Linked DNA regions of Oryctolagus cuniculus. The protein of the gene in region 4 interacts with the protein of the main gene of each other region in a pairwise test. Links are inferred from orthologs where the notes say so. Each region holds a gene or a part of one and is shown on either strand. Other genes may lie near its edges.

Region 1 (4,012 bases), on a different chromosome or scaffold from region 4:
AGAGGCCAAACACAGATGCCCGGTGGGAAGGATTTGGGCTTGCTGTGGGATGTCCTAGGAGGGCTCAGGGAAGGGGGCTTTGCTCTAGGCTGCACGTTGACAGGAGGCAAACTCGTTCTTTTCAGTTAGCTTACCGACGTCAGCTGGAAGAGGACAGGACTGAATGATGGCAAAAGCTGTGCTTGTTCAAGAAGCGGCTGTCCCTCACCCAGTGGTGGAAGGGGTCATGTTAGACCATGTTGGTGGTCTGTAGTATGCGATTGTTTTTGGGTTCAGACATGATTAGGGAATGGGCTTTTTCTCCACCCACCCGTCACTGAGTGACCTCGTCGGAGGTTGTTCAGTGAAATTGTTCGTGCTCAACGGGACATCACCGAAGCCCGGCTGTGGGTGTGGGTGCCAAGCCAGTGCCTGGCAACACCAAGGCTTTCTGGAAGGAAGAGTGCAAATCGGCTCCAGCTGTCAGGAGTTGCCTCTCTTTTCCTCTGCTACACTTGAAAGTCAGAATTGGCGACCCCTTTTGGTAGAACCTGCGATCTCTGGTTCATAACAGGCCCATTTCTCCTTGATACCTTACGACTGGCCCACTTTGCTCATTCGCCTTCCTACCATCTCCTGCAGGCATTTAAATGTGCACCCCTGGGGTGGCCATCCGGTGCAGCAGTTGAAGATGCCAGTTGGGACTCCTGCATCCAACCCATATTGGAGTTCCTAGGTTCGAGTCCCATCTCTGCATCCAATTCCAGCTTCCTGCTCATGTGCACCCTGGCAGGCAGCAGCCGATGGCTCAAGTATTGGGGTCCTTACCACCCACATGGAAGCCCTAGGCTGAGTTCCTGGCTACCTCCCAGGGGATGGGTGGCAAAGTTGAAACCAGAGCTCTGACCCTGTGTCTGGTCTTCTTCCAGCTAACCTCCCTGGCCAGACGTGAAGGCGCATGATTAAAACCATCTCTCTCTGTGCCTCTAACCCGGGTGCGGGTCAGGTCAGCTAAGAACACGTCTCTCCCACCACAGTTTTCGTGAACAGTGCGTTCTTTCTCTCCGGGTTGGGTGCTAGGTATCACATTACCCGGGAGTCTATTTGTCCGTCGGCTCCGGCCACCCCGGAAGTGCTCTCTGCTGAGACACCAAGCCTTTCCTGCCTGAGGTCTCGGCACCTGCGCTCCCTCTCAGCTCCAGCTCAGCCCTAGCACCGCCGCCGCCTGCTTTAACACTTCCCGCCTCGGGGCTCTGTTCTCCTATCCTGTCAGGGTACGGGGCTTGGGAAGTGGACACTGCCAACACCCGTCCTCTCTGAGCGAGGTTTCCCTTCATGCCCACGAAGTTCGGGGAGCAGAGACCCCATCACGGCCCGGGAATTTCGCTTTCCACGTCCGGCAGGGGTCCGCGCCCTTCCTCAGCCTCATCTCTCCGGTTCCTCATCCTGCTGGGGCAACGCAGTCCGCCAGCGAACTCGCTCCCTAGACGACTGCGCATGCTCTGCACTCGCGGCCACGCCCCCAGGATCAGGGGCGGGGCCTGGCCGCGCCTGCGCAGATACCCGGCGCCTACTTCCGGGTGGTGCGAGCGCAATGGACGGAAGGGCCAGTGTTTTGGAGTAGCGGCGGCGAGTGGGCGTGTACGCCGGACTGTGTGGCTGGAGAGCCGGGATCCCGGGGTCTGTGGGAGCAGGCCGGAGGACACGGATAGAACCTGGGATCGCTGCTTGCCCGCCGCCACCTGGCATGTCGGCCGAGGCCTCGGGCCCGGCGGCTGCCGCGGCCCCGTCGCTGGAAGCCCCTAAGCCCTCGGGTCTCGAGCCTGGCTCCGCCGCCTACGGTCTGAAGCCGCTGACCCCGAACAGCAAGTATGTGAAGTTGAACGTGGGCGGCTCGCTGCACTACACCACGCTGCGAACCCTCACGGGACAGGACACCATGCTCAAGGCCATGTTCAGCGGCCGGGTGGAGGTGCTCACCGACGCCGGAGGTAGGCGCGCCGCCCGGAGACCCCGGCGCCCCGGCTCGCTTTCCCTAGGCTTTCGTCGCCCAGCCTTCTCGTGCCCCTTCCCCGTCTCACGTCTCCCCTCCCTCCGGCCCCTGCCCCCTCGCGTAACCTCTGACTCTTCCAGGCACCACCGTGCCCTTCACCATCCCCGTCACCAGCTCTTCCACCCCTCACCCCTCGTCTGGGAAGACGTGAGAGCCAGCCCTGCCGCCAGCAGCGGCCCTCCGGGCAGCCTCCCTCAGTGTCCCGCCCCCCACCCCCAGCCTTTTGTTCCCCTCTGCGTGGAGAGCTGTCCGTGTCTCTGTGGTCCCCTGACACAGGTCCCTGAACACTCTAGGGCTCATCAGTAAATGCATACTGTAGCAGGAGAAGGAGATGATGGGGAGTTCCCTTGGCAGGTGAATCTTAACCCTCTTGGAGGGTCGCATTGAGGCTTGCGTGGCGCGTGCCCAGGTTTGCTTCAGGGGGGCTGGGGTTTCAGAAGAGGTTAATAGGAGAGGGCAGGAAAATTCAGAAGTGGGGAGAAGATACCAAGGCAAACCATTCATTCATTCATTCATTCAGTATTTGTAAAGTTCCAGTTAGTGCTGGAGAGACTTTGGTGAGGGGATCTGACAAGATGAGTCTTTTTAGGGAGTTAGGGGTGGGGCACAATAAATAAAGCGATAAGTAAACAAACAGCATACAACTGTAACTGCAGGGAGTAAAAGTCCTGTGAAGACCGTACAGCTTAAATGGGCAGTGAGTGGCTTAGACGGTTTGAATAGGATGATTGGCGTTAACATTAGGGGTTGGAGGTTTATTAATAAGGTAATTATGCACGAGGGCTTCAAAAAGTTCATGGAAAAGTGGAATGAAAAGTAAGCTTATTTTGGTGCGGAGAAGTTTGGAGGCCAGGTGTATGAGGGGTCTTCAGAAAGAAAATGGAAAATGCATGCCACAAGGAAACTTTTCATGGGTTTCAAACATTTTCTGTGCCTGAATAAACTTAGCCATTCATTATATATATATATTTTTTTAACAGGCAGAGTGGACAGTGAGAGAGAGAGACAGAGAGAGAGAAAGGTCTTCCTTTTGCCATTGGTTCACCCTCCAATGGCTGCCGCGGCCGGCGCACCGCGCTGATCCGATGGCAGGAGCCAGGTACTTATCCTGGTCTCCCATGGGGTGCAGGGCCCAAGGACCCGGGCCGTCCTCCACTGCACTCCCGGGCCATAGCAGAGAGCTGGCCTGGAAGAGGGGCAACCGGGACAGAATCCGGCGCCCCAACCGGGACTAGAACCTGGTGTGCCGGCGCCGCTAGGCGGAGGATTAGTCTATTGAGCCTCAGCGCCGGCTCATTCCATTTTTTTAAAAAATATATTTATTTACTTGAGAAGCAAAGTTACAGACAGAGAGAGGGGTCTCCCATCAGCTGCTTCACTCACCAAATGGCCACCACGGCTGGAGCTGGGCAGATCTGAAGCTAGGAGCCAGGAACTTCTTCCATGTGTCCCACATGGGTGCAGGGGCCCAAGAACTTGGGCCATCTTCCCCTGCTTTCCCAGGCCATAGCAGAGAGCTGGATCAGGAGTGGAGCAGCCAGGACTCGAACTGGTGCCCATATGGGCTGCTAGCACTATGCAGACGAATGCTCAACCTACTACGCCACAGTGCCAGCCCCTAGTAATTGCATTTGTACGTGACCTTTCTGAAGTACCTGCAGCGTAAGAACTTTCTCTCTGTGAGAGCCTTCCCACTGTAGAAGAGATTCAGGAGGGAATGAGGGGAGAACGCACGGGGGATGTTTGAAAGGGGGCTCCTTGACCTGGCCAAGGTTTGAGACAGATCGGTTTTCAGACTTTCTTGTGGCCATGGGATTCTTTTTTCATAAAGATCGAGCAGCTTCAGGGCCCACGGCAAAGCCACCCTCCCTCCTGCCTCTCCCCAGGCTGGGTGCTGATTGACCGGAGCGGCCGCCACTTTGGTACCATCCTCAACTACCTGCGGGACGGGTCTGTGCCACTGCCTGAGAGTGCCCGAGA
Region 2 (4,246 bases), on a different chromosome or scaffold from region 4:
TGCGTCTCTTGTAAAGACCCTTGTGATTATAACTGAATCCCATCCTCTAAGTCGCGGGCAAGGTAGCCTACACACAGGCATCAGGGATTACGGTGTGGGCATCCTTAGCTATCTACAATTGGCATATTGTTTACTGTTTTTCCTCTCTTTCTAGATGCGTTGCCCTATTTCATTTCACAATGTGCTTCTTTCTTAACCACGTTCTCTTAATCAGTTTGTCCTCTGTCTGTTTTATTAGCTACACCCCGACAGCTGGAACAGCGCTGCGCAGTGGTGGCAGGCCCGGAAGGCAGAGCTGAGCAGTGCTGGGAGTTCTGCGATTCTCCCCTCAATGTAATCTCCCACTTGGCTATCACTCGGACAAAACTCCGTGCCCTGTGCTCTGGGCGCTTCGAAGTGACCTCGAACTCAGCGTGAAAGGTACAGGTGCATCCTGAGCAGCCTCACCCCGTCCCACTTGCGAGACTGGCGAGCACGAAAACCTCGGATCTCCCTCTCTCCTGCCTCAGCTCTCGAACCTGAGAAGGTGAGCGCCTCACCTTTCGACTCCCTAGGGGCGAGGCCTGGGCATGCGCACCTGCCTGGGCCAGCGGAGACGGTGGCGCTGCTCTCGCCCCTTCTACCCACCCCGGTTGTCCACCCCCCCCCCCGCCCCCCAACACACACACACACACTCTCTCATCTCTCCTCCTTCCTCCAGCCCCATCCCGGCTCGGGGACCGGTCTGGCTGGTTCCGACATCTGGGGACTTAACCTGTCCCGCCCATCCGTGGCCTCCAGCCGCGCAGGCTCCGCGCGCCTCCGCCCTCGCCGCTCCCAGCCCTTAGGCGTGAAAGCCACTACGAACGGTTTGAATGAAACGCCCGTGGGCTTAGTGGGTGACAAACCAGCAGGGGATCCCGTCTCCCCACAAACCAGCGACTCTCAATCGGTGCAAGGCGGGGGGCGGAGCGGCGGAGGCGCGGGCGCGCGCAGCGGCTGGGGAGAGGCCGGGCCACCTCCCCCTTCCCGGCCGCGCACAGCCTCGCCCGCGGCGGTTCCAGGCACCACACTCCCCGCGGCGCCCGCCGTGGCGGTGACAAGCTCCGGCGGCCGGCAGCACAGCCCGCGGCAGACCGGCTCCCCCCTCGCCCCCATTCCGCCCACGACTCCCTCCTCCGCCGGGGCACGGCGCCCAGCTGCAAGGGCCGCCGGCTCGTCAACTTTGAGCCGGAGGAGAAGCAACTTTGGCCGCGGGGTTCGAGTCCCGCTTCTCCGGTCGCTGGGGTTAGGCGGGGCGAGCGTGTCCCGGCGCGTCCGCGAGGCGTCGGACCTCCGCAACCTGTTTCCAGCCCAGCTGGGAGTGGGATTTGCCTGCCAGCCGTCTGGGGGAGGGGGCCTTGTTTTTCTTTGCGTCTGGAGACCTCGGCTTGCAACTGGATAAAGCCGTATCAAAAGGATGTAAACAGGCAGAGCAACTGTTACCAAGAAGGCAGCCGCCCCAAAAAGCAGGGAGCAGCGTCGGGGGTGTGGGGTGGGGACTTCCTCCCAGCTTCTCCCAGGCGCAACAATAATCGACACTCAGGTGGCGGTTGCAACTTTTCAAGGTCAGCCACAGGGAGTAGTCTTTCCATCTCTGCACCTTGGGGGCACACAGAGGCTCGGATTGGATTTGACTGAGAAATGCGCAGGACGCCAAGCAAGAAAGGCTGGTAGAGGAGGGGGTATAGTGTGTGACCCCAAGACTCATCCCTCATCCTCCCCAAAACCTTCGGTCTCACGCTGCCCCGGCTGGGTGAGTATGTGACATGTGTGTAACTCGCAGGAGCAACTTGGGCAGCAGGTGTCGATCCTGAGCGGGAGCCGCCGCGGCTGCCGGTGAGCCCTCGCCCAGCCATGTGGGCCCCGGACGCGCCTGCCGCCGGCACTTTGCGGCTGCAGCTTCTGCTGCTGCTACTGCTCCAGATTTCCGCGTCTTTTGCCTTCGGGTTTGCCCCTGCGCCCAGGAATGAAACTTGTCTGGGGGAGAGCTGTTCACCTATACGGAACCAGCGCCGCGGCAGAGGCTCGTGGGGACCAGAAAATTCTGCAAGAGACGTCCTGAGAGCCCGCGCGCCAGGGGAGGAGAGGGAGGCAGCGCTGCGCTCGGCGCCCTCCTGGGACCTGCCAGACGCCCGGGGCGGTGACCCAGGTGCAGGCAGAGGGGCGGAGGCGTCGGCAGCGGAGCCCTCGGGACCTCCGACCAGGCTGCTTGGCTCCTGGAGATGGAAAGGCGTCCGGGTCCAGGAGGTCCCCGGAACTTTGAGGAGAGGAGACCCCACGGCCCTCCAGCGCTTCCTTCAGACCTCAGAGGACGAAGAGGAGGATCCCAGGGGCGCTGGCATTTCCGGGCGCAGCCAGGAGCAGAGTGTGAAGACGGAACCTGTAGCCAGCGATCTCTACTGGCCAAGGAGAGCCGGCAAACTCCAGGGTTCCCACCACAAGCCCCCACCCAAGACGGCCAGTGGGTTGGCAGGGCACGAGGGGCGGACATTTGCACCCCCTGGCCGGGCGCTGGCCCAGAATGGGTCCTCAGGCGAAGAGGTCCACGAGCGCGGGGGTCCCCGCCGGGGTAACAGCACTAACCGGCGAGTAAGGCTGAAGAACCCCTTCTACCCGCTGACCCAGGAGTCCTACGGAGCCTATGCGGTCATGTGTTTGTCAGTGGTGATCTTTGGGACCGGCATCATCGGCAACCTGGCGGTGATGTGCATCGTGTGTCACAACTACTACATGCGGAGCATCTCCAACTCCCTCCTGGCCAACCTGGCCTTCTGGGACTTCCTCATCATCTTCTTCTGCCTTCCGCTCGTCATCTTCCACGAGCTGACCAAGAAGTGGCTGCTGGAGGACTTCTCCTGCAAGATCGTGCCCTACATCGAGGTGAGGGCTCTGGGTAGGGGGGCGGGGCGTCAGGCTGCTAGCTTTCTGGGTTTCCAGGCTCACGGCATCAGAGGCATCAGAGCTGTTGCTGGGCCCACCGACTCGCTGGACCTTTCCCCTTCATCTCCAGTTCTCCAATTCTCATTCCAATCGTTTATGCATGTATGTATAAAAAGAGGCAGCTTTGTTAGCCTGCAAATTCGTCTGTTCCTGGGCTGTGAAAAAAAAAAAAAAGACATCTTATAGTGCATAGAATGGGTTGAATCACTCTCTCTGAAGATGGTGTGGTGTAAGTTTCTGCTTTGGCACCCGTCAGAGAACCTAGGGTTAAATAAATGGCCAGCCCATAGTTGTCGTTATCATGGCCCAGCAAGAAAATAAAAACCAGCAGTATTTGCCAACTAGATTTTTGTGCTTCAGTGTGGATTTGTCTCCAGGAAGATTATAGCCTTTTTTGAATCGCAAAGTTGGAGCAATATTTTATTTTAAAAAAGGAAATCTGCCTTTCTTTGTTTGTCAGCTTGGCCTCATGATATATTAATAACCTCTCAAATTAGCTCAAGTGTCTGGCTGTCTTCTATGCTATCACATCCACATTCTGTCATGTCTTGCTCCTTTTCCTTTTCTTTCTCCATTCTTTAACAATTTTATTTAGTTCTGAATGGATGAACTTAAGCTAAAATAAGACTTTGGCCACAATGGTACAGAATTTATCATTGTCGAGGTATATAGGACATATTTTCTACAAGTATAAAGGATTGGCTATTTTAAAGAATTGACTAACACCAGCAAGTTTCTTAAAAGAGGAATGTATTATTTTGCAAACTTTGGAAAGGACAATCATTCTGAGTAAATTTCTACTGCTTCATCCCGTGGCTAGGGTCCTGAACCGTCCGTGTGGTAGTTGGAATTTGCTCTTTAAATGGCCTCTCTGTAAACACCAGCTCTTGGAAGGGGCCCAAGTGTTTTGCTGCCAGTTGTGTCTTTGGCCAGCTGGCCCTTGATTTTCTCCATTCAGACTGTCCATTTCATTTATGGAAGCAGAAGAAGGGAAACCGTAAATATTCCGGAGCCCCTGATCCTGTCTGGCACCAGGGCCAGTGACACTATGTTCAACATTGTCCCAGGGCTTTAAGCTACTGGATAAGTAAACAGAAAACAGTACCTATTTAGAAGGACCAAGGCAAGAGACAGTAAATAAAACCCTCTGTTATCTTGACAGGGATCAGATGCAGAATCATTCCAGGGCTACTAAATCAGCTGTTACTGCTTCACCAGAATCCAGACTTCTCTTGTTGCCAAGTTCAAAGTACCTCTGAAACATCTATATTTACTTGGTAGACAG
Region 3 (4,072 bases), on a different chromosome or scaffold from region 4:
TGGCACAGTTTCCTGTGTGTGCTGGATTAGCTGATCTGCAGAGCTATTTCCGGATGGGTTCTGGTACCTGGATTGCACAGGAAAGGTCGGACTTTGTGCCTCTGTCCCGTCTGCTGTTCCATTTGTCTCATTTGTTTTCTAGACAAACTGGGCTGCTCCTTCATGGCACCAGCATCAATGCCCTTTGTTTTCTGATGCTTCCTAGGGATTTAAATTCAAGCAGCAGCATACAATGCAATGATTTATTTGCAACGCATTCATTTGTTTCATTTGCTGTTCCTGTCCCCGATTACCCTGGCAATCGGTTGATGATTTGTCAGCAACTTTGCGGCGGGGATTTTCTTCATTTTCGTTTCAGTTTACTACAGGCTATCATAAGTGATGCAGATGATATTCGTTTCTGACACGTGAATGTGACAACTGTTTTGGTTCGGATCCGTCATTAATCAAAACTGAAGAACAGAATACAGCAACTGAATTCAGCGCTGCAGATTCTGACTTTCATTTCTCGCGTTCTAACATGTGCTTTGTCATATCTCCCCCAAGGCGCCTCTGCTTCTTTCACGAGGTCCGTTTCCTCATCTCTCTTTGCATCACTGGAGCGAATTCAGGAAGCAGGCGAGGTTGGATGGGAACACGACAGAAAATTCAGCCCTACCAATAGACGGGTGGATAGAACTACAGAGCAAACTGACAAATCCCTGCTGTAAGGGTTGGGGGGGAGCTGCAAGTCAGCCTTCGAAAGTTTTTTTCTTTTTTAGCGCGGACGAGACGCTGTCTGAGAGCCAAAAAGAGAGTCGGCGGGCCCCACCCCACTCTTCTCCAACGGACCTCATTCTCCTTCCCGCCCGCAAGCAGCCGCTACTACAATTCCCAGAAGGCACCGCGCAAGGCCGCAAAGGATCAGTCCTTCGGCGGAGAGTCCTCCCCCGGCAAGGAGCATGCTGGGAGTTGTAGTGAATCGGCGCTTCCCGGCTACTTCCTTCCATTAGGCATTTCCTTTTGAAAAATGGTGATGCATTGCCGTGGCAGGTTCCCTAGTTTCGCACTTTGCGCTCAGCGAGACGGAGGGCTGCGCCTCTTGCCCAGCGCTGCGAAGGGCGCCAGTCCCTTGCGGGCTTTACTCCGCCCTCTGTTCACGCCCGTTCCCTTGACAGCTGGACTGTGCTCGCGGCCGCGAGGCCGGGGACGCGCAGGCGCACCAGCCCAGTGCCGCGCTAGGCAGGCCTCGAGGGCGGGACGGACGCCAGAGCCTCTCTCGGCCGCCGGGGCGCGCACGTAGGCACGCAGAAGCTGTCACGTGGGGCGCCGAGGATCGCAGTGCGCGTGGCCGCGGCGGCTGGTGTGGGGTTGAGTCAGTTGTGAGACCCGGCGCTGCTGACCCAGCGGGCGACCCACCAGACCGGCGACAGAGCGGCAGGCGTCGGGGCTCGGGATCCGTGAGCCTGGCCCCCTCGTAGAGATCCGCCGAGCCGGCGCCGCCGTCGTCCCCCGCCCCCAGCCAGCAAACCGCCGCCGCCGCGGGCGCGCCCCCGCTCTGCGCTGTCTCTCCGATGGCGTCCGCCTCCGGGACCATGGCGAAGCACGAGCAGATCCTGGTCCTCGACCCGCCCACAGACCTCAAATTCAAAGGTTAGGCAGGAGGAGGACACCTCCGGGCAGGGAGGGGGCGAGCAGAGGGCTCGAGGGCAGGTTGGGGCCGCGGCCCCAGGGAGCGCCCCCTCCCCCACGCCCGGGCGCTTTCCATTTTCCGGCGGCTCCCTCGCCGCCTTCCCGCGGCCGGCCAGCCCCTGCCCGCTCCCTCCGTCGCCCGCGCCTCGCTGCGCGCGCCGGCCGGGGCGAGGAGGCGGGCGGGGTGGTGGTGGTGGGGGTGAACCGGCCCGGGCGCCGCCGCCGCCATCTTGCGGTCCCGCGGGGGCGCCTCCCGGGTGCAGTCGGCCGCGGGCTCGCGTCCTTGGCCCCCGAGGCCCGGGGCGGGCGTGGGTGAGGGGCGGCCCGCGAGCGTGCGCCCGGGTGTGCAGCGGCGCGGGGCGTGTGGAGGTGGCGCAGGCCGGCGTCTGGCTGTCAGCGGCGAGGGCGGGCGCGGCGGCCCTCGGACCCGCGGGAGGAGTGAGGGCCGCAGCTCGGGCCCGGGCGAGCTGGGTGGGGCCGGCCCCTGGGTCCTGGCGGAGGGCGTCGCTGCCCGCCTTTTTGTCCCGTGGGTAACTCAGCTGTCAGGGAACCGGAGCGCCGGGGGAGGCGGAGAAGCGCTCATGAGTGCGCTCCGGACTGGTCCGGAGGTGTTGGCAGAGCCCCAGGCGCGTGCGGGCCGGGAAGGCCTGCGTCAGCCCCGAGTGGATCGCCGTGGGCTGCTCGGAGTGGGTCTGCCTGCCCCTCGGCCGTGACGTCTCCGCGCGCGGCAGACCCGTGGCGGCGCCTTCGTAGCCCTCCACTCGAGTTCTGCTGACTTTGGCCTTTGCGTTTGCGGCCCCCCCTCCCCCCCAAACCCTGAGAAGGGTGATAAGGTGACACCCAGCTCTGGAACTCTGCTGATTTCAGGGCTCTGCCTGTGATGGAGTGAGTGATCGGTGTGTCTTGGTGACCCCGTTTGGTCCATTGGCTTTCCCGTATGCAGGGTACTTTAGGGAAACGAGTTAAACAGGTTACACTTTTTTTTTTTTTTTTTTTTTTTTTAAAGGAATCCTCATCGTGCGAAGATCTAAATAGAAAGCAGGTTCTGTCTTTTCTTTGGTTGACTGCAAAGTGAATCCCCGATTTGGAAGGCAGGGTCTTGTGTTTCAGTTGCAGTAGCTTGGATGAGACCGATTTTGGTGCGGTGTATGGCAACTCCAGTGCTAAAAGAGACAACTGAAATCCTTTATTGTTGTGTAGAGTTGAGTCCAAAAGAAAAGTCCGCGAGGAAATTTTAAAATAGTTTTAGGAAATGGAAAAATAATATCTTCTGGCATTGTGAGAGTAACAGTTGTATGATGACTTTGCAAACTGAGTGAATTTGCAAATCTAAATGGAAACCTAAGTGAGCTGTTAGGTAAGGATTTTGTTCGAAAGGCAACTCTTAGGGCATATTTTGAGGTGTAGCCAGCACATTCTATTGTAGCAAGTGTACCTGTTCCATGATAGTACATAGTTTTAGCGGGAGGGGGACCTTTGAGGAATATGGTGTAATTATACCCTACTCAAGTAGCCGTTGTCTTAAGTTGAAGGAATTTAATGTGATGTATATTTTTTCAAGAGCATTTTGATTTTACGTTTTGACTGGCTGACAATAGGCAGCTTCTGCATAAGCATAGATGGATTGTCATTAGGACTTAGAAGCCTTTAAAACAAATTTTAGGTCAGGATGTCTGCAGTTGACAGGTTTCTCCCTAGAGAGGTTATGATGTCGCTTTGGTAATATTCATAGTGGAGAAGCAAGTTCAGAAAACAACCAAAGACACGACGACACACACAGTAACTTAGGAAGCAGGTTCCACAACAGAAACTTAGAAACTGTCTTATTCATGCATTTCACGTGTTGTGAGTACCTGGTAATACACAGCTGTGATGTTAGAACGGGTTGTTCTCGCCTTGTGGAAGAAGTCGTCCAGAAAAGGCCAGTGAGTGCAGACCACGTTACCGAGGCGCAAACACCTCTGAGGAGCAAGGCCCCCCTCCTCCACCTTTCGGAAGCCGCCCGGGAAGAGGCTGCTTTCCAGTTGTCTGGAGGGCTGAGCTAAGGGAGTGGCTGAGTAAACACTGCAGTGGAGAATGCCAGGCGCAGAGCGGACCGAAGTTTCTCAGGGAGTGTGTGCTGCTTTAGAGGTGGGTTCACGGGGAGCACGAGGATTGGGGGAGAGGAGCAGTGCAGTAAACTAGTGGCTGACAGTTTTGGTGCTTGGTTTTTTGCCTCCTCAGTGTTTTTCAAAGGTTGCCTTTCGTTGTGGTGGAAACTTGTCTACATTTAAGTGGACGGCACAACACCAGCTGAAGAGACTTATTTAGAATCAGCCGTCTATTTGTTGTGCCTGGTTTGATGATGACACTAAGACTTCGTTTGTCCTAAATCACCCTTAACTTTTTGTTTAAAGGAATG
Region 4 (4,002 bases):
AGTACAGTCATAATGTTACAAACTGTATGAAATGTCCATTCTTGTAAATCAGAGGCAACCAACCAAGGCAACTTCATATGGTTCAATCCAACAGATACAAATTATCTAGCCTCTGAAAAGATTGCTTTTTCTGCAGTTGCCATGGGGTTATCAAAGACATTACGTTTGAAAGGAAATCTGTTTCATTTTCAGTGCATCTCCATTCCAACAGATGACAGAAGGGGGGCTGCTACACTCTCAACAATCAGCAACAAAACCACGCAACTTTCTTCGCCATCACAAGCTAGGTCCATACACAGCCAAGCTGCAGTGAAACGCAGAGTAAAACCTTCCCAACTCTCCGCCTTCCCGAGGAGAGCATTCAAAGTAACTGACAGGGACCGTGCTGAGGGAATCGGCAGCTGTTTAAGTCATCTCCTGTGATCTTGCCAAATGTTTGAAAGGGTGACGGGGTGGGGAGAGGTGGAGCACGGGGGTGTGTGGCAATTGAGGGCTTGAGCCAGAAGAGCTGTGGGTACCCGCACAGGGTCGCGTGCCTCTGTGGCTCTGTGCGCTCCCAAGTCCCAGCGCGCACGCACCTCTATGTGCGTAGAGTGTGTTTACTTCTTTCCGTGTGCCTGTCCGTGCCTTTGTGCCCTTGGCTGCTTCTATGTCTGACTCTGACCGCGTGTGAGCCGTGACTGCCGGCAACAGTGCTTGTGGGTTGCGTGTGAGCGCGCGCGAGGCTTGTTGGTGCGCTGGGTGGGTGTGTGAGCGCGCGCGAGAGGCATGTTGGTGCGCTGGGTGGGTGTGTCGTGTCTCCCTGAGTTCCAGATAAGTCTGAGCATGTCCGTAGGGGTGCATCGTGCTTGTATGTACAAGTTCTGATGGCACTCTGGTCCCTGTTTCCAAATGTCGCGAGCGCCATTATGCGCACAAGCGCCCAGGGCAGACAGGTAGCAGCCGGAGGGAGAGGAGCTCAGTTCGCTGGTTCGCTGCTGAGCCCGCAGCCCCCGCTTTAGCACTCAGGAGCCAGCCCGGGAGTGGTGGCCCGCCTGCCACCCGGGCCAGCCCCAGGAGAGGGCGGGCAAGGGGAGGGAAGCGAAGGGGAGAGGTGCCTCGCCCCTTCGGGGCTGCGGGCACGCCATTGGCCGAAAGTTGCCTCACGTCACTGGGAGGCAGTGGCCCCGAAGTCCTGAGCACATAACGGGCAGAACGCACTCTGAGGCGGCTTCTCTGAAGTGCAGGCTGGAGCTGGCGGGCACGGAGGGCTCAGAGCAACCCACAAGCCGAGTGCGCCGGACGTGACCCACGCGACCCTCCGCATCCAACTACGGCCGCTGAATGAAGCTTCCAGGAGTCCGCTCGCGGTCCGCAGCGCCCCTCCGGAGGTGCGCACGCTGAGGCGGGGCCACTGTGCCGCCAGCCGCCCCCGGGCGCTCACCTGCCCGCCTGCGAGCCATGGGGCAACCCGGGAACGGCAGCGATTTCTTGCTAGCGCCCAATGGAAGTCACGCGCCGGACCACGACATCTCGCAGGAAACAGACGAGGCGTGGGTGGTGGGTCTGGCCATCGTCATGTCTCTGATTGTTCTGGCCATCGTGTTTGGCAACGTTCTGGTTATCACAGCCATTGCCAAGTTTGAACGTCTACAGACGGTCACAAATTACTTCATCACCTCACTGGCGTGTGCTGACCTGGTTATGGGTTTAGCGGTGGTACCCTTTGGGGCGAGCCACATTCTCATGAAAATGTGGACTTTTGGTAACTTCTGGTGCGAGTTTTGGACTTCCATTGATGTGCTGTGCGTCACTGCCAGCATTGAGACCCTGTGCGTGATCGCAGTGGATCGCTATTTCGCCATCACCTCACCCTTCAAGTACCAAAGCCTGCTGACCAAGAATAAGGCGCGCGTGGTCATTCTGATGGTGTGGATCGTGTCGGGCCTTACCTCCTTTCTGCCCATCCAGATGCACTGGTACAGGGCCACCCATCAGGAAGCCATCAACTGCTACGCCAAGGAGACCTGCTGTGACTTCTTCACGAACCAAGCCTATGCCATTGCCTCCTCCATCGTGTCGTTCTACTTGCCCCTGGTGGTCATGGTCTTCGTCTACTCCAGGGTCTTCCAGGTGGCCAAAAAGCAGCTCCAGAAGATTGACAAATCAGAGGGCCGGTTCCATGCCCAAAACCTCAGCCAGGTGGAGCAGGATGGGCGAAGCGGGCATGGACATGGACTTCGCAGGTCCTCCAAGTTCTGCTTGAAGGAACACAAAGCCCTCAAGACGTTAGGCATCATCATGGGCACATTCACCCTCTGCTGGCTGCCCTTCTTCATCGTCAACATCGTGCACGTGATCCAGGACAACCTCATCCCGAAGGAAGTTTACATCCTCCTCAACTGGGTGGGCTATGTCAACTCTGCTTTCAACCCGCTCATCTACTGCCGGAGCCCAGACTTCAGGATTGCCTTCCAGGAGCTTCTGTGCTTGCGCAGGTCTTCTTTGAAGGCCTACGGGAATGGCTACTCCAGCAACAGCACTGGCAAAACTGAGTACACAGGGGAGCAGAGTAGCTATCACCTGGAGCAAGAGAAAGAAAGCGAGCTGCTGTGTGAGGACCCCCCGGGCATGGAAGACTTTGTGAACTGTCAAGGTACCGTGCCTAACGATAGCATTGATCCCCCCGGCAGGAACTGTAGGACAAATGACTCACTGCTGTAATGCAGTTTTTCTACTTTTTAAGGACCCCTCCCCCAACAGAACACTAAACAGACTATTTAACTTGAGTGTAACACATTTAGAATAAAACTGTATAGAGAGACGCAGAAGGAAGGCAGCCTTCTGCCTTTTTTTTTAATCTTTTTTAACCTGTAAAAAAAAAAAAAAGAGAGAAGATGTATTTGAGTGATTATTTGTTTCTTGTACAGTTCAGTTCCTCTTTTGCATGGAACACCTAAGTTTATGTCCGAAGGGCTTGAGTCCTAGAGGACCTGGGTCTGCTACGTTTTGATGACTTCTCCGTGTATCTACCTCAGTGGTCAAGTATTAGGGGTAATATATTGCTGCTGGTAATTTGTACCTGAAGGAGATTTTTCCTTCCTGCACCCTTGGACTTGAGGATCTTGAGTATCCCGGACCTCTCAGCTGTGAACGTGGACTCTTCCCAGCTCCTCCTGTTTGCTCGGACCGGGTGTTGTAGGCAGGGATTCGAGGGGGCAGCTTCACTTGTTTTCCTGAGCAAAGTCTAAAGTTTACAGTAAATAAATTGTTTGACCATGACTTCATTGCACCTGTTTCTCCAAAGCCCCTTGACTGGAGTGTCCTTGCCTCTCCCACTGGAAACCGCAGGTAACTATTTGTCATAACTGCCTGGCGGCTTAATGTGGAATGATACAAGAATGACACGCACTGATTGCTTAACCCTTTCGTTCGCCTCTGACTCTGCTGTGGCAAACCTGTATCTCTCCTAACCCTTGTGACCCACATCGGTTCTGCCTGTTCTCAGCATAGCTCAGTCTGCCCTCGGGTGTTATTCTGTTCTGTGACCTCAGAAACACTGACTCACAGAAACAGAGCTCTGGGCATACAGTTTGTCCCTTTACCTGCCACCTCACCGCCCCCCCCCCGCCCCCACCTCCCAGTTCTACTCATTTAAGAACTCTTTTTTTTAATATCTCAGCTGTATCTTCTAGTAGAGCTCTTTGTATTGCATCAGGGCTTTGCATTTTAAGGATAAGGAAGATGTTCTTGCGAGAAAGCAACCCAAACGTGATTCCAAGGGAAAATAAAATGACACTGGTCCTAGGGAGAGAAGCTGGAAAGCACGTGACTGATGACTACTTAACGGCCTAGAAACAGGGTTTTAACCCTTCTTCTTTACTTTTGCCTCTTCTTCCCTCTCCCACTGGCTCTCCTCGGCACCCTCAGCATTATCAGCCTTGAGAGTGCCCGTTGTGGGATTATGCCATGCATCACTGAATGTGGAGCAATATCCCTAGCTTCTGCCCATGCGATGCCAAT

Evidence for each region. The genes of interacting proteins can lie anywhere in the genome.
Region 1: the proteins of ADRB2 (region 4) and KCTD13 interact in a protein complementation assay, tested with the Homo sapiens proteins (2 studies listed by BioGRID and IntAct, with this or other methods). The link is inferred for Oryctolagus cuniculus from reciprocal best matches to the Homo sapiens genes ADRB2 and KCTD13.
Region 2: the proteins of ADRB2 (region 4) and GPR37 interact in a protein complementation assay, tested with the Homo sapiens proteins (2 studies listed by BioGRID and IntAct, with this or other methods). The link is inferred for Oryctolagus cuniculus from reciprocal best matches to the Homo sapiens genes ADRB2 and GPR37.
Region 3: the proteins of ADRB2 (region 4) and VAPA interact in a protein complementation assay, tested with the Homo sapiens proteins (2 studies listed by BioGRID and IntAct, with this or other methods). The link is inferred for Oryctolagus cuniculus from reciprocal best matches to the Homo sapiens genes ADRB2 and VAPA.

Annotation. Positions count from the first base shown.
Region 1 is NC_091450.1:7,326,683-7,330,694, reverse strand, and holds the start of KCTD13 (BTB/POZ domain-containing adapter for CUL3-mediated RhoA degradation protein 1), read left to right. Parts: upstream 1-1,212; 5' UTR 1,213-1,726; coding exon 1,727-1,970; intron 1,971-3,918; coding exon 3,919-4,012. UniProt on the Homo sapiens protein: Substrate-specific adapter of a BCR (BTB-CUL3-RBX1) E3 ubiquitin-protein ligase complex required for synaptic transmission.
Region 2 is NC_091434.1:160,977,254-160,981,499, reverse strand, and holds the start of GPR37 (prosaposin receptor GPR37), read left to right. Parts: upstream 1-1,446; 5' UTR 1,447-1,875; coding exon 1,876-2,901; intron 2,902-4,246.
Region 3 is NC_091441.1:67,079,282-67,083,353, forward strand, and holds the start of VAPA (vesicle-associated membrane protein-associated protein A), read left to right. Parts: upstream 1-1,272; 5' UTR 1,273-1,553; coding exon 1,554-1,632; intron 1,633-4,072. UniProt on the Homo sapiens protein: Endoplasmic reticulum (ER)-anchored protein that mediates the formation of contact sites between the ER and endosomes via interaction with FFAT motif-containing proteins such as STARD3 or WDR44.
Region 4 is NC_091437.1:36,224,077-36,228,078, forward strand, and holds the start of ADRB2 (beta-2 adrenergic receptor), read left to right. Parts: upstream 1-1,202; 5' UTR 1,203-1,440; coding exon 1,441-2,635; intron 2,636-3,286; coding exon 3,287-3,294; 3' UTR 3,295-3,330; exon of another isoform or gene 3,331-4,002. UniProt on the Homo sapiens protein: Beta-adrenergic receptors mediate the catecholamine-induced activation of adenylate cyclase through the action of G proteins. The beta-2-adrenergic receptor binds epinephrine with an approximately 30-fold greater affinity than it does norepinephrine.